Caenorhabditis elegans: one gene and its partners. The protein of the gene in region 3 purifies or fractionates together with the protein of the main gene of each other region. This does not show direct contact. Each region holds a gene or a part of one and is shown on either strand. Other genes may lie near its edges.

Region 1 (7,667 bases), on a different chromosome or scaffold from region 3:
AAAAACGAAACAACTTTGTATTTTTATTCGTAATTGAAGATTTGTTGAAACAGGCAAAAATAAGTGAAATTTGACAAAGCAAAGTTGAGCAAAAAAGTGCAAGAAAAAACAATATTGAAACAAACATTCATATTGTGAATTGATACTTGAAATTAACGGAAGAAAAATCATTGATTGTAAGGCAACATGTTTAACCTCAAAACCCATATTAGCCGTTTCTTCCCTCTATTCCTTACTCATTTATGTGAGAACTGCAGATGTTGCAAACTCGTCATAAATAACTCGTTTGGGTGATGACAGTAATGTCATGTCACATTAAGAAAAGAAATGAAATCATATGAGATATTGAGAAATACATGAAAATTTAGTTCTGCTGAAACGAAAAAGTGCTCATATTTATGAAAACACTCATTCAGATTTCCGAGAATTATGATAATATCACGGAAAGTTTTATTTTAAAAAATGCTCTGTGCCGCTTTTGTCGATACAACTTCTGAAATTTTCAAAACCACCGCGGTGCCTCCCAGTAGGACTTCAAAAATTTATCTACCCATCTTGAGATCAAAACTTTCGAATAATTTTTGGCGACTGTCTTTTATAAATCAGGTTAAACTCCCAATGGATCTTTTTGCTTTGTCGCCTTATTCAAAACAATATCCCAAATAAATGAAATATTGTAGGATTTGTGTGACAGTTAGAAAACTAACTTGTGAGGCGGCAAAAATGACGAATTATTTTCTGTCTAGGGACACTATCCCCACCCGAGAAAAAGTAAAAACGCCGGCGACAACTACAAGAAGGACGAGGACAAAAGTGTTTCTTGTCAGGAGAAAAGAAGGGAAAAGGGTTTGTCAACATACGGAATACTGAAATATTGGTCCCCAGGGAGATCAAAATTGAAAACGGAAGGTTAAGGGAAAAAGTGGGTGGTTATGAAACATTGAGATCTTATTGAAAACCGAGGGAGAGTTAGAAATGGTTTTGACAAAAAAGTGAAAGACAATTTCGTAACTGTAAAATTCCTTGATATCTTGTGGAAATGTACCTGTCAGGGGTGTGAGGTGATCAAATTTACCGTTGCACCCAAAATGGAGCAATTATTTCTAACCTTTGAAGGCTAAAATGTTTTAAAATTTCAAAACAAAGACAGTTTTTCTTCAACTGCAGGCTCGAAAAACCTTGAGAAGTTGGAAATATGTCAATTGATTTGGAATTTATTCTCTAATTCTGATTTAACGTGAAGTTTATGGATACCAAACTTTAAATTTAAAAAAACTACAAAACTTTCTACAAGCATCCGTATCTCTATTTAAAAATAAAACATTTTCTTACATCATGCAATTGTTTCCCAGAGAGCCAACAACCAGTCAAATCTCGGTTTCAGCGACGAAATTTCAAATCAATCACCTAAAAACCAATAACATGTGGTATGCGAGGCTTTTGGATCTTCCGCCCACTTTATCATTCCCGAATCGCTTTTTTTATCTGCAGGTCAGCTCTTTTTTCTGGTTGAATCTGGGCACGAAAAATCGTATATAAAAGAGATAGAATCAGCATGCTTCTGTCATTTTTCCTCAGAGTTTTTCACCTTCTTATTGTGTTTTTATAATCTTTCTTCTTTTTAGAGATGGGTATAAAAACCCTCATTTGGCTGTCAATACTTGTAGTAGGCATATACTGTGAGATAAGTGATGAAGATGCTCCTGTTCATTATTGTTTTGTCAATCCTCCACCGGTAAGCAGCCATAAATGTTATCAAACAAGCAATGTCAATCAGAGTTTCAATTAAAAAATATTTTTTACTAAATATTGGTTTAATAGTTTTGATAATTGTAAAAGGCTCCAAATTGCAGAAAACTCGTCTCTCCCCAAATCTTCTTCAAAACATCACAACGTGCACCCATTTAGTGTATGGAAGTATTCCAATTGATCGAGACACTGGATATCCACAGTACAGTGTATCCGATGTTGAGTCTGGATATGATATTGACAATATTCGAACTTTCATGAGATTGAGAAAATATCATCCAAATGCCAAACTCTTGATGGGAGTTGTTAGAACAAAACCGTTTGAAGACGCGGCTACATCGGTGAAGGTTGCAAACGGGCTCCGATCTCATGTGAAGAGCAAGTGAGTTTGAGAATTTTGGGAAATTGGTCATCACAGCTTTATCAAAACTAAAATTTATTTTCCAGAAGATTCGATGGTTTATTTGTAACTTTCAACGGCATTCACCTTGAGTATCGAGCCTCAACGAGTTTTCTTGAAACGATTTCAAAAGACAAAAAGATGTCGTTAACATTTGGAGTCACAGGAAGAAGAGTTTTTGCATTTGATGCATTAAGACGACTTCAAGAAATCAATGATCTCGTTGAGTATATCTATTTGGATATGGGAGAATTGCCAGTAAGTATTTTCAGTTTAAAAAATGGTTGACTGGAGTTATTTTTAGTCAAACGAGGAACTTGCCAGAGTCACACACATAAATCCACTTTTCTATAATGGATCAATTCCGTTTGAGGAAACAATTCAAGGAACTGTCGAAGAGTAAGTCAAAATATATAGGTGAATTAGATCCAATACGGAATTTTCAAAGTCTGTCTTTTGAAAAATTCCAAATATCACAGTAAAACTTTTTCACTTTGATTTGTGTTTAAGTTATTGTCAAACATAGCCACTTCCTCATTTTTTGCAATTCATAATTTTGGAAAATGTTTTTTTTTTAATTTTACTGTTTCTTATGTTATTATTATCTTTTCATTTATTTTTTTTACCATCCGATGCTTTCAAAATGTTGAAAGAAAGTTACAAAATTCTGCAAAAAATTTTCAAAAAATGTTTAAAATTCTAAAACATTTTTAATAACGAAGGTTTTTACTCGTTTTGTGTATAAAACACCTATTGTCGTAACAATAAAAATTTAAGGTTGTCAAAAGAAGGAATTCTCCCTTCACGTATCGTAGTTGGACTGACTGCTGGAGGATGGAAATTTGAAATCAAAGAGACTCAAGATCCATTAAAAATCTCTCATGGACAATATGCTGAGAATAATGGAAAACGAGTTTCTTATCAAGATGCTTGTAGAGCTAGAGGAGCTGTCATTTATGATTGGCAGACTATGAATGAAATTACCGTGTACCGTCAGACGTGGATGAGTGTTAATCTACCAACAATTAAGGCTATGGGAGAAAAGGTCGTTGCAACTTATGCTTTAGCTCATGAAACCTATTGAATTCCAGATGAAATGGATATTGGGTCAAAAGTTTGCTGGAATTGGTATTAGCCACGCCCTCTTCGATGATCCACGTGGAGACTGTGGTACAGATCCGTTGCCAGCTCATCGTCTTGTCATGGAACTAATTCGTAATACTATTCCTGCGAATCCAGCCAAATGTACAAGACTCTGCTATTTGGATCCGGAGGAGGTTGAGGAAACATTCCCAATTGATAATCTGAAATCTGACTACTGTAGTCATATTGTTGTTCCATACTTCGCCCTTGATCTCTCCGACAAAATGATTGAAGAGGATAAAGCCGAAGATCTGGTGAAGAAAATTGATGATTGGAGAAGCAAAATAGTTGAAGTGGCACCGAGGGTAAGAACTCTTTGAAACCGTTTTCAGATTTCAAAGGAAAACTATTTCAGCTTATTCTTTCTGTCGGATCAAAACAAGCCTCAACAATATGGCAATTCCTCCTTGGAAACGATTTTCATAGAAAAGAACTTGCTGAAGGTCTTGTTAAAGCAATCAATTCAACAAACGCAGATGGGCTTGAGATTTCGTGGACTTCTCAACCAATGGTCAGCGATTTTGATAAGAAGAATTTGAAATCATTTATCAATGATATCGTCGCAGCGGACACAGCAAAGATGGTGGAGATCGTTGTGGCAACTTCACAACAGAGCGCTTATTCGGACTTTTATGATTATGAGCATTTGAACAAGTTGGTTTACTTTAATATAATATTTATTTTAATTCAAAAATTTTAGAACTGCATCACTAATTGTCCTTCACTCTCATCGTCTTCACTCGGATTCTCTTCCATTCACAGGACATCCTTCACCTCTTCGTGCCACTTCATCAATGACTAATCAAAAAATGAGTTGGGAATCGTTGCTCTCTCACTGGGTCGAAAAACGTGTACTCCCTTCAAAACTTGTATTGTCTCTGAGTGCATCCACTTTATCCATGCAATCACTTGCTGATGTGAGAAGCTCAGCTGCAACTCCATTTGGACAATCAGCTTTTGTGTCAATGTTGAGATCGAAAAAAGGAGATATTCATAGTCAGCAGGAGATCTGTGAAAGCCTGAAGTCTGGAACTGGTGTCACTCATTGGGTTGATGGAGCTGAAGTACCATATTTGAGGTAAGTAATATTTTGGGATTTATGGTGAACTGAGCCCTTTGAGAATTTTATTCTAAATTATTTCAAATAAACTTCCCCAGTGTACAAAGCGAAAAAGTTTAAGCCAATTTAATGACATGAGAAAAACTGGAAATTAGTTTCGTATTTCTATCTCAATTTAACAAAATAATATTTTTAAATTTATATTTAAGTATAAATACGGAAAATGATTTAGCAAGTCAATTTCCAGTGGTTCAAGTTACTACCAGGACCAAAATGTGAATTATCACAAAATGCAATAACTTCAGACGATACGATCAAATGGTAGCATATGAGAATACTCGTAGTGCTCACATCAAAGCAGTATGGGCATCAATGGAAGGTGTTGGAGGACTTGCTCTTCACAACATGCACCAGGACGATCCGAGTGCAGTTTGTGATAACCGTACTGCATTCCCCATTTTAAATGCTCTTTCTCGTGCTCAAGTTTGTCAGACTTGCCTGAAACAGCATGACTTCAAAAAGTGTGAACAACACGATTTCGTGGTTAGCTGCAATTTTGAATTGAAGAGGAGCACTCGTAAGCTTTTTTTTGGATTTTCTGATGTGTGAAATTTGAAACAGAAAATTTTATTTTTGAAAAATTTAATATTTTTCAGCTGTTTTCAAAACGGACATTGTCCCATACGAGCGTTGCACGGAAGTTGTCGTTGAGCAGGCAACACTCACTTTAGGTGGAAATGTGAATTTCAATGATGTTCAACAAGAACAAGTTGTTAAGAATTTGGTAAGTTTTCGCACCTGCCTTGTAGTCTATAATGAGTTTTAGACATCATTGAGGTCAAAAATGGTTAAATGTGGAATGGTGCTTTCACTATCATGCGGTGATTCTGAGAAATATTTGAATTCAATTCTTGGTGGTGAGTTTCATTTTACAATTTGTAAATTACAAATTAAGATCATGTTACCTGGAAGAAAAGCTCTTAAACATATTCCTGAAAGCTTTTTCAGTGCATACTTCCAATATTCGATTTTTTTTATTTTTTGCAAACCTATTACGACTTTGAGAGATTTTAAGGTGGCCGAGGATTCTGAAGTTTTTGAAAATGAAACAAAATCTGAAAAATCTTGATGCGGTTGGGTGTCTGAAAATCCAAAAGTTAACTCGTACATGATTTTTATTGAAAAGCATTTGATTTTTGTTAACTTCGAAATTAAGCCCATAACCAATTTTTCCATATTGTAGACAACATGACATTTGCAATTGGCAACGTGATGAATATTATGGAAAAGTACAAATTTTCTGGAGTACAATTGGATTGTGAAAAAGTGATTCGCAGAGGAAACCATGTAATTTATTAGGTTTAAGAATAAATTACCTATGAATCTATTCAGATTTACTTCAACACATTCGTCAAAAAATTGGCACAGAAGTTTGAAAGCGGCAAGGCTTCCAATGGGTGTAACAGGACACTTTCAGCAAGGCAACCTTTTCATAGAGGTTTTTAAAAAGCTATATATCCCATTATTTCAGATTTTCCCATTACACACAAAAGCCGTCAACGTACTACAGTGTATCTCTATTGAATCGTCTGTCTCACATTGCATTAAGAATGACTGATAAACATTCCGTTGATCTTCCATTCTTCTTCAATCACACAAAGCCTGAGTTCCCGTCAACTGAGAAATTTGTGAATATTTGGAAGAATGTGGGACTGAAACCGGATAAGCTAGTTTTGGAACTCTCGCCATTTGGTTGGCAGACTGGAAAGAAAGTGGGGGAGAAGAAGAAAATGACACAAGGAGTTAATTGTGTAACTGCTGGGAATAGAGCTGTCTACGAACATGATTATGAAACATTGACAGGAATGACCAAACATGAAAATGGAACTATCAACATGCCAATGATTGAAGATTTTAGATACAAAGTAAGTTTCTTTTTTGGCATTTATAGCTCCCGTGATGACTGATTTTGAGATCTGGCGAGACCCCACTTAAAAAAATAAAGTTTCACATTTTCACGAAAGTAGAATAAATTACTGTTTTGTTTAAAGGGGGACTAACGGTTCGGACGATTTTGAATAGACTCAACATGGGCTCAAAAGAACAAATTTCGTAATGAAACTTCTCAAAAAATAATATCAAAAATTTTTTGTGGCAGTTCAAAATTTGAAAAAGTTACACTGCTATTAGGTAAAATCTCGTTTTTACCCACTTTTCCATATCGCGGTCCGAAGTTGCCCTTTTTTTGAATTATTGTTCTTTATTGCATATTTTGGTAGTCTATATCATTTAATTTCGTTTATTACAGTACATTTGAAGCCGATAGGTAACCAATTTTGATGATTTTTGGTTACCTATCGGCTTTTAATGTGCCTTTACCGACAAAATTTAATAAGATAAACTTCCAAAATTTGGAATAATGGATGTACAATAATCAAAAATTTTCAAAAATTTTTTGTAAACTTTTTGAAACAGTAATTTTTTTCAAAATTTCTCAAAATGTGATTGTTTTTGAAAATCTGATAATTTTCCAACAATTTGACGGAAAAATTTGCTAATCGTAAGTCTAAAATCTTTTGAAAGGTTCCATTATGATATTCTGTCATGTTGTATTATTAAAAGTTTAACAAAAGCCACATTATATTATAGCTGAAATCTCTACAAATACAGTACATATAATAATTTTTCTAGAAATTCTGGAAATTCTATCAAATTTCTAGGATTTTTTATTCAAGTATTCAAATTTTCAGATTGGTTACATCCAACGTGAACAGCTCGGCGGTATTGCATTGAATGTAAATGGAGATGACTATACTGGAATCTGTGGGCGTGGATCATTCCCAATTCTGAAATCTGTTTATAGTTCCCATAAGTGTCGTTAATTTCTGAAACTTCACAATTTTGATAAATAATTATTTTATTTCGTTTGATATCGATAATGGATGAGTTCAACTCTCCCACACGACCAAATTTTTTTTTACGAAAAAAAAGGGAAAAAGCGGGGAAGGGGGAATTGGGACACCATTTACAAAATATGAATGGTTTTTGTTCAAAGTTCCCAGTGATAATAATGTAGACTTAGTTGGTGCTAGAGGAAGTTCATTTAACTTGGACAAATTAACAAATTTGTTGATTTTGACGGTGAATATTCTGTGATCGAGGAATTCCTTGAACCAGAAACAAGCTAGTCAAGACCGAACTTGGCAAGTTTTCCTAAGAGACTGTGTGAAACTTTGTTAAAGGCTTTAACAAAATCAAAAAATATAATATAAAGAGATTTTTCTTTCATTAGAAGTGAATGGTAGAGGGAAGCCA
Region 2 (3,372 bases), on a different chromosome or scaffold from region 3:
TTGCCATCAAATTCAGGTAGTTGGTGGCTAATCCTTAAATACTAATTTCTGAATTTTCAGACTGGTGTGGCTACTAGTGTTACAAGTCAATGGGAAGTTCCTGGCGTCGAAGGTCCTCAAGTACTCGTTCAAGGAAATCAAATTCATTTTATCGCTGATCTTCTGATAAAATCGTATGGAATCGACAAGAAATTTATGAAAGGAACCGAGTTGGCGGTGAAAAAGAAGAAATAAGAAAATTTGGAGAAATTTGCAAATTCAAATAGTATTAAATCTGTTCAATGTATTCCCTCACACCTTAATTTTTTTGTTTTGAAATTCGGTCTTTCTTTATTTATTAAATACCCGTGTGTTTCTAAGTATGGGTTGTATTCGTATTTTCGGTTCCATAAAGATTCATGAAGAACTTTCTCTTATCGTTTTGAACATATCCGCTTGGTGAATTATCAGTGCCAATTTAAATATTACACATACGCGAACATTTTCGATTTTCGGGCAGAAAAAAAAGGTATTAGGTCTCGCCACGCTTTTTTTGTGAGATAAAAACGAGGGTGTGCCTTTAAAGAGTACTGTAAGTGTCGAGACCTGGTGCCGCATTTTGGACCCAAGATTTCGCGTCTGGGGGATAAATTGTTCTAAATTTTTAAGATGTTAATCCATTTTCAGATTAAATCAAAATGCCTTCAAAATACATGCAATTGGCGAAGGAAATCATCAAAAATTATGGAACCAAGGGTCAATTCGGATGTGTTTCCGGAGCAGGAAATGTGAGAGCAGTTCATGCGGAGGAAGGAAATCTACGAGTGGAATTTGAAGTTGAGAAAGATCAGTCAAACCATTTTAACACTCTTCACGGTGGATGTACATCTACGCTCATTGATATTTTCACTACTGGGGCTCTTCTTCTCACAAAACCAGCTAGGCCAGGAGTATCTGTTGATTTGCATGTTACGTACGTAAAGAGAGAAGAAAATTGTCGAATTTGATAGATTTTTAGATACCTGACCGCCGCTAAAATTGGTGAGACCCTTGTGCTCGACTCCACCGTCATCAAACAAGGAAAAACTCTTGCATTCACAAAGGTAAACTTTAAGAAAAGTTTTAAAAATATTATTTTTTTCCAGGCAGAACTCTACCGTAAAAGTGATAATGTAATGATTGCAACTGGAGTACATACCAAAGCATTCCCAACTGTGAAGAAAGCAAACTAATCAATATATTCCAAGACATGGAAATTTGCGATCCGTGCGCCAAAAATACGGTATCCGGTCTCGACACAAAATGTTTTGGTTAAATGAAAAAAGGTGTGCTTCTTTGATGAGTACTGTAATTTTAGACTCTCGTTGTTGTTGAAATTTCATTGATTTTTCAACAATTTCCCATCAATTTTCGATAAAAAAAACATTTATTAATTTATTTTAAAACTCCCATACATCAATTAAAACTTTTTTTTTTCAGAAAATCGCGAAAAAAAATCAAGAGTTGGAATTTCCAGTAAACTTTAATGGCGCACACACCTTTTCCCGTTATAAAAAAAGTTTTCGTGTCGAGACCGGCTACCGTGATTTCTGCCCAAAAATCGCAAAATTTCGTGTCTGGAATACCTCCTAAACATAATTCCTAGACACAATTTCTAATTTGATCGTTTTGAAAAACATTTCCCTTGTGTACAAAACTATTATTCCGCAATAAAATTGTAAAGAATTCTTGTTTTTTTTCCAATTTTCCATAAATACTCGTTTTAATCCGAGTACTCTGTACATGTTTTGATGGTAAGAGAATCCACGCAAGTCTACGTGGTTATGAGATTTTTGTTTTGAAACAAATATTTTTAAATCATATATTTTTTCTAAGATTGCTTGAAAATGGCATCAAAATACATGCAAATTGCGAAGGAAGTGATCAAAATGTTCGGGACAAAAGGACAATTCGGTTATGCGGCTGGAGCACGGAATGTGAGAGCAGTTCATGCGGAGGAAGGAAATCTACGAGTGGAATTCGAAGTTGAAAAGGATCAGACAAATCAATTCGAGACACTTCATGGTGGATGTACAGCAGCACTTATCGATTGTTTCACAACTGGTGCTCTTCTACTCACAAAGGAAGCGAGGCCTGGTGTTTCAGTGGATTTGCATATTACGTGAGTATCTATATCTAAATAGAGGTTTCCTAGATTATGCAATGATTTGAAACATATAAGTCTTGCGAACAAGTGCAATATTTAAGCCAAAATTCAGTGTGGGGTCCCACCACGACCGAAATGTTCTCAGCTACGGTACCAACGAACTTTTTCTAATGTTTTCTAATTTTTCCATTCCAACCTTTAATTTAAAACTACAGATTTATTGCAAAACCAACAAAAAAGAGAAATCTACCGTACTCACGAGTACGGTAACTGAAAAGTTTCGCTCATTCTAGTACCCCCATACCTATATTTTAGCTTTATAATCGTTCATTTTCGTAAACTAATAATGCCAGAAATTCAGGAGAAAATATTTATGATCATCGTAACTTCCAGATACTTGACAGCTGCAAACATCGGAGAAACTCTTGTACTCAACTCTACTGTCATCAAACAGGGGCGCTCTCTTGGATTCACTAAGGTATCATATTTTTTTATTCTTGAATATTTCTGATTACAAAAGTGTTTTATTTCAGGCAGAACTCTATCGTAAAAGGGACAATGCAATGATTGCTACTGGAGTCCACACCAAGGCGTTCCCAAAGTGATCGCTCACCATAAAATAAATAATGTTATATGCAAATTAAACTAGAATTATTTTACCATGTATTCCATTTCATTTCAGAAAATAAATATCTTTATCAATATATGTGTTTGTTTGCCATTAAAAAACACAAATATCGGAAGTGAGAGATCATTTGTTGTAAGGATAATGTGTTTTAAAGGCTCCGTATCACACGCCAACGCTCTGAGTTGATGCTCAGTGAAATACCAAAAGTGACGAAGAAGCTCAAAATTCATATTTTTTGGATGCAAATCATAGAAAGAAGTCTTATAAAAAATTCCATTAAAAAATTCCGAACATATCTTGCTGCGGTTATGTTGGAGGCAAGAAAAAAAAAAGAAATCATAATCGCCTTCGATCACTTTTTTTATACACATTGTTTATCATGAAAACTTATTCCAAAACAAGATACCAAAATTCACCACAAATATTCTAAAATTTTCAATTGCCTTATAACCAATGATGGCTGTTTCGAGAAGTTTGTACTTTTGAAGAATCCAATTTCAAGTTCCTCTTTTCCTTCGTCTAGATCCCGAGACACTTTCCACGTCGTTGGTGTTTTCTGGCAACTCTCATTTTTCAGTAAAATCAATAATTCGGGAATTGGAAAACTAATGACAATGTT
Region 3 (4,571 bases):
GTCGGTTTGCCGGAATTTTTCATTTTCGGCAAATTGCCAGGATGCGTGCAATTTTGCCGCTCAAAAATTGAAATTAAAACTTCCAAAAGAATGTGCAAAACCAGATTGCCGGTTTGCCGATTTGCCGGAAAATGATTCAAACTGTAATTACCTCCATCATAACCTTCTTCTTCATTCTCAAACATCCATATTTCTGATATTGAGCCAATGCAGCTGATAACAATGAAATTACACCTTCATGATTGACTACAAGCCTTTGAATAATTGCTGTAACTGCAGCAGCTTCAACTTCTGCAGTTGCCAATCCTTCATGATTTATTCTCCATGGACGTTGGCCGAAAAATACAGTACTGGAAGAGTTTGCCAATGGATCTGGGGATGGGTATGGCACATTTTGTGGAGCATCTGGAAATTAGAAAATAAACGGGAAAACAATTTCAAAAAGGCACAGTTTTAAGTGTTTCCGTCTTTTTAAAAAATCCCTCTAAACATTTCCGGCAAATCTGATATCCGGCAAATCGGCAAATTGACAATTTGCGGAATTTGTTGACAAAAAAATGTGGCGAACGGTAATTGATTGTCTGATTTTGTAAATTTCCGTTTAGTAGAATAAAAACACATTTTTCAAAATTTTATATTTTTAAAGGCTTCACCATTATAAAAATTTCAAATTAGAACTAAAATTTGGTACATCTTTTCAGAAGTATCAACAATTCGTGCTAAACCTCACTTCTCTTCAACGCAGCAATTTCAGTATTCGCAGCGGAATAAATACTAGCAGCTTGATCCAAATGTGTTCCAGGATTCAAAGTGGCAAGTGCCGATAGTCCGCCGGCAACTGATCTCTCGAATAAATGTGCAAATTGATAACATTGCTTGGATTTCCAGAGCAAAAGTTCAATTGAAGCAAGATGTGGTGTTGGATAGATTCCCGGTGATGAAGAGAAGAATACTGTCGTGTGACGTCGCATTTGATTGATTGCTTCGAGTGCCGTACTGTGGAGGAAACATAATTCGCACATCTGAAAATTTAATTGCAATTAAAATAATAATAATTATGTTATGTTTTATTTAAAGCATATATTTTGTTGTTGATGTGATTTTTTGAACGAGAATTAACGGTTCGGACGATTTTGAACGAATAAACCCAAAATGGGTTCAAAGTTTCGAAAAAATACACTGAATTCAGCTCAGGGGTGCGCGGCAATTTTCGAAAATAAATATAAATCGGAATTTGAAAAAATTTCACCTTTTGCAACCCTTAAAGGATTAAGCCATTTTGAGCTTAAAAAGAGAACATTGTTCAGTAAAATGCATGTTTAAGCTCCTAAAACTACAAAAAGTATCAAATTTATATTTGCGTCAATCGGCAATTTCGGCCATTGCCGGTTTTCAAAATTTCCGGCAATCGGACACCCCTAGTACTAATAACGGAATTCTTGGTTTTCAGCAATCCCTGCTGTACCTTATAATTAAGCAATCCAACAACACTTCTCCACTCAAAAACATCGACTCCATCCCATTGTTCAACTGTATCCCGACATTGATCATAAGCCAATCGATAATTTCTCAATGCTGTATGAGTATCCTGTCTGAGTTCTGACAGAAACGCCAATTTGAATTGTTGTCGTACGACTAACGCCGGCGAGTTATTCGGAATATTTCTAGATCGAATAGTTTTCAATCTTTGTTGATAGAATGCTTGGCACAGTTCATGGAATGCTAGCTCGAGTTTTAACGCGAAATTCTGCAGATTTGTGGTATTCGGAGCCAATAAATTGTCCGCGGGAAGTATGAAAAGTTGTTTTGACGAGAGGGAACATGCTTGGCAAAGTTCGTGAGCTCTGTCTGCTGCCAGATTGTCACTGATGCTTGTTGATCTGGAAAATTGTTGAAATTAAGGGATTTCTCACAGCTTTCTGTGATTTTTTTTGTGAACAATTTAATTTTTTAAAAAGAGTTTCTTCGCAGCTTTTCTATAATTTCTTTTTGATTTCTAGCTCTCAAGCTTTTTTCAAAAAAAAAAGTTTTTTTGAAAATTTCGATTTTTTTTTGTGGTTTTTCTAACAAAATTATAAACAAATCACACTTTTTAGAAATTTTTCATTAAAAAAGCTTTTTCGGGCGTTTTTACAGAAAAATTCACAGAAAAAAGCAACTTTAGTCAGTTTTCATGAAAAATTCGCATGAAAAATGGAAATTTTTGTCATTTTTCAACGAAATTCTATGAAAATTGCAATTTCCTGTCATTTTAATTGAAAACTACAATAAAATCAAAACTTTTAGTCATTTTTATGAAAAATCGCATGGAAATAGTCATGCTCAGCTTTTTCGGGCGTATTTACAGGAAAATTACACGAAAATCACCCTTTTCGGTCATTTTTCCACAAAATTCTACGAAAATTGCCAGTTTCTGTAGTTTTTAATGGAAAATTACAATCAAATCACCATTTTTCATGAAAAAATAACACGGAAATCGGCATATTTAGTCACTTTTTACGGAAATTTCATGGAAATGACCGTTTTTTTTCAGCATTTCCTCACTTTTGCTGAATCAAAACGAGCGCAATTTTCGTCCCATGACGCAGCGATCCTCTTATACTTGCAACTTTGCTCTCTGCTTCAGTCTTCTTCTCTTCCCAAGATGGATGATCCCATTCTAAATCAATGAACACGACAATCAGTGCCGGTACCTTATCCAGATACTTTTGAGGCCACTCACGGCGGAGAATTCCTGGAAAATCGACGTTTTTAATCGATATTTTGTCAGTTTCTGGCACCTTTTCCTGACCCAGTCTCCCGTTTCGGTGGAATATCCAATTCTCCGGAAACTACGCGAATATGAAGTGGTGGTTTGTCGGCTGTGCGGTTTCTAAATTATTTTTGGCGTTTGAGGAAGTTCTTCATGTTTCAATGTACCGGAAGACATTGACGATACTGTTGTGAGCTGGCTTATTCACTGGATTTAATCCCGACAGGAAGACAAGTTGAAGTGGCCGACCGGCTATCCAATCACCTGCTTCTACTGGATCCATCTGCTACAATTGAACGGTTTCTACTATCCCTTCCCCAATAAAAAAGTAGTCCTCCTCCAGATTTGAACCGTTTGTTTTATTATTCACATAAAATTATAACATAGACATTATGCCAACAATTTATTGATTGAAGACATGAAGTTAACAATAACAAGATTTGACGAGGCGGTTGCAGACGTGGACGCTGGTTGCTCAATCAAGCTGAAAAAAAAATAAGTTGACAGATAATAAAATACTTATTTATTTTAAAGTATATTTGCAGTAAGTTCAGGTTTGTTTGCTGATCTTGAACAGGAACTCTAAAAGCTGATGTACCTGTCTTCGAGACATCAATTCTATCTTGCAGACTAAACTAAACGTCGAAAAGCACAGGCATTCGCGTAATGGACATCTGCTCATCCTACTTGAACTTTTAAATATTATTTTAGTTGGATAAGGTTCCTTTTTTGCATAATCTAGTTAAATTTACCTTCTTGAATCCGATGTCTCTGGCTTGCTCGCGGAAGCATCTACGGCAGAGATCGAGGCCGTACTTGCGGATAAGTCCGTGGTGTCCAGCGCAGACGCGGCTGAAAAATTCAGATAAATGTATTTGAAATACACCAAGTTCAGGTTTGTTTGCTGATCTTGAACATGAGCATCAAAATATGAAGCACATGTCTTCGAGACATCAATTTTATTTCGCAAATTTAACTAAACGTCAAAAGGTAAAGAGCCTTTTCGTAATGGACATCTGCATTCGAAATTTTTGATGAAAATAATACTTACCAGGAGCGGGATCCTGGTCCGAACTTGCGTGGGTGAGAGAACCACAAATTTTGGAAACCCATTGTCGAGAGCTGAAATGGAAACAAAATTAACATCTCAGAATGCAAAATGTTTCGAAAAAGCTGTAAACGGAGGAAAAAAGCGGAAAACAAGAAGACGGTGAGAAAAAAAGCGAAATGCGTCAAAAAATCGATAATTAAAGCAACAACAGCATTTTCCGTAAAATTTCGTTATTTTTCGAAATCTTTCCAGAAGAACTAGTTACAAAACTTCTAATTTAATTCTGCTACTTATAATTACGGAAACAATCGTTTTCCTTGCAAAAATATGGAAAATAGATCGAAAAACTTGATTTTCGGCCAAGAGGCAGAAAATACGGGCGATTTTAGCAAAATGTTGACGTTTTTGGTGAGAAAATGCACGAAATTTTGATTTCCAACAAAAAATTCATTTATTTTCGAATTTTTAACAACAAAAAACACAAAAATCCATCGAAAAATAGGCCAAAAGGAAGAAAAACGCAATTTTTGCAGAACACTCCGCCACTCGGGTACGGTCACACTCGTTTCACGTGTGTCAAAGTCGCGGCGAGACCCACACCAAGACTGCTCCGCCTCCTTCGGGTCGTTTAGGAGGGAGGAGCCGCGCTTTTGAATGGAAAAACGACAGGAAAGAACATTTTTGTGCTCCAAAATTTTTTCAGACAAAAAAATTCGAAAAATCTGAAATTTAATTATATTATTCACGATTTTCGTACTATGTAGCGAG

The links. Proteins that work in one complex are often made in the same cells at the same time.
Region 1: the proteins of trpp-11 (region 3) and cht-3 fractionate together in Caenorhabditis elegans (co-fractionation; one large-scale study listed by BioGRID). This does not show direct contact.
Region 2: the proteins of trpp-11 (region 3) and C25H3.14 fractionate together in Caenorhabditis elegans (co-fractionation; one large-scale study listed by BioGRID). This does not show direct contact.

What each region holds. Positions count from the first base shown.
Region 1 is NC_003282.8:7,001,998-7,009,664, forward strand, and holds cht-3 (Chitinase-like protein C25A8.4), read left to right. Parts: upstream 1-1,625; 5' UTR 1,626-1,627; coding exon 1,628-1,735; intron 1,736-1,853; coding exon 1,854-2,131; intron 2,132-2,196; coding exon 2,197-2,407; intron 2,408-2,453; coding exon 2,454-2,548; intron 2,549-2,926; coding exon 2,927-3,194; intron 3,195-3,240; coding exon 3,241-3,597; intron 3,598-3,647; coding exon 3,648-3,946; intron 3,947-3,992; coding exon 3,993-4,370; intron 4,371-4,657; coding exon 4,658-4,929; intron 4,930-5,008; coding exon 5,009-5,136; intron 5,137-5,178; coding exon 5,179-5,269; intron 5,270-5,595; coding exon 5,596-5,699; intron 5,700-5,744; coding exon 5,745-5,833; intron 5,834-5,883; coding exon 5,884-6,277; intron 6,278-6,761; exon of another isoform or gene 6,762-6,782; intron 6,783-7,102; coding exon 7,103-7,234; 3' UTR 7,235-7,271; downstream 7,272-7,667. UniProt on the Caenorhabditis elegans protein: Putative chitinase.
Region 2 is NC_003280.10:5,693,529-5,696,900, forward strand, and holds C25H3.14 (Acyl-coenzyme A thioesterase 13), read left to right. Parts: upstream 1-1,854; 5' UTR 1,855-1,865; coding exon 1,866-2,140; intron 2,141-2,518; coding exon 2,519-2,603; intron 2,604-2,658; coding exon 2,659-2,730; 3' UTR 2,731-2,830; downstream 2,831-3,372. Other genes in the region: eif-2D (SUI1 domain-containing protein), read left to right, coding at 1-16, 61-234; C25H3.3 (Acyl-coenzyme A thioesterase 13), read left to right, coding at 678-952, 998-1,082, 1,125-1,211; C25H3.10 (F-box domain-containing protein), read right to left, coding at 3,166-3,372.
Region 3 is NC_003281.10:793,603-798,173, reverse strand, and holds the start of trpp-11 (Trafficking protein particle complex subunit 11 domain-containing protein), read right to left. Parts: upstream 3,039-4,571; 5' UTR 3,036-3,038; coding exon 2,920-3,035; intron 2,873-2,919; coding exon 2,781-2,872; intron 2,735-2,780; coding exon 2,545-2,734; intron 1,881-2,544; coding exon 1,466-1,880; intron 1,023-1,465; coding exon 731-1,022; intron 406-730; coding exon 152-405; intron 1-151. Other genes in the region: rps-29 (Small ribosomal subunit protein uS14), read right to left, coding at 3,228-3,236, 3,505-3,604, 3,804-3,865.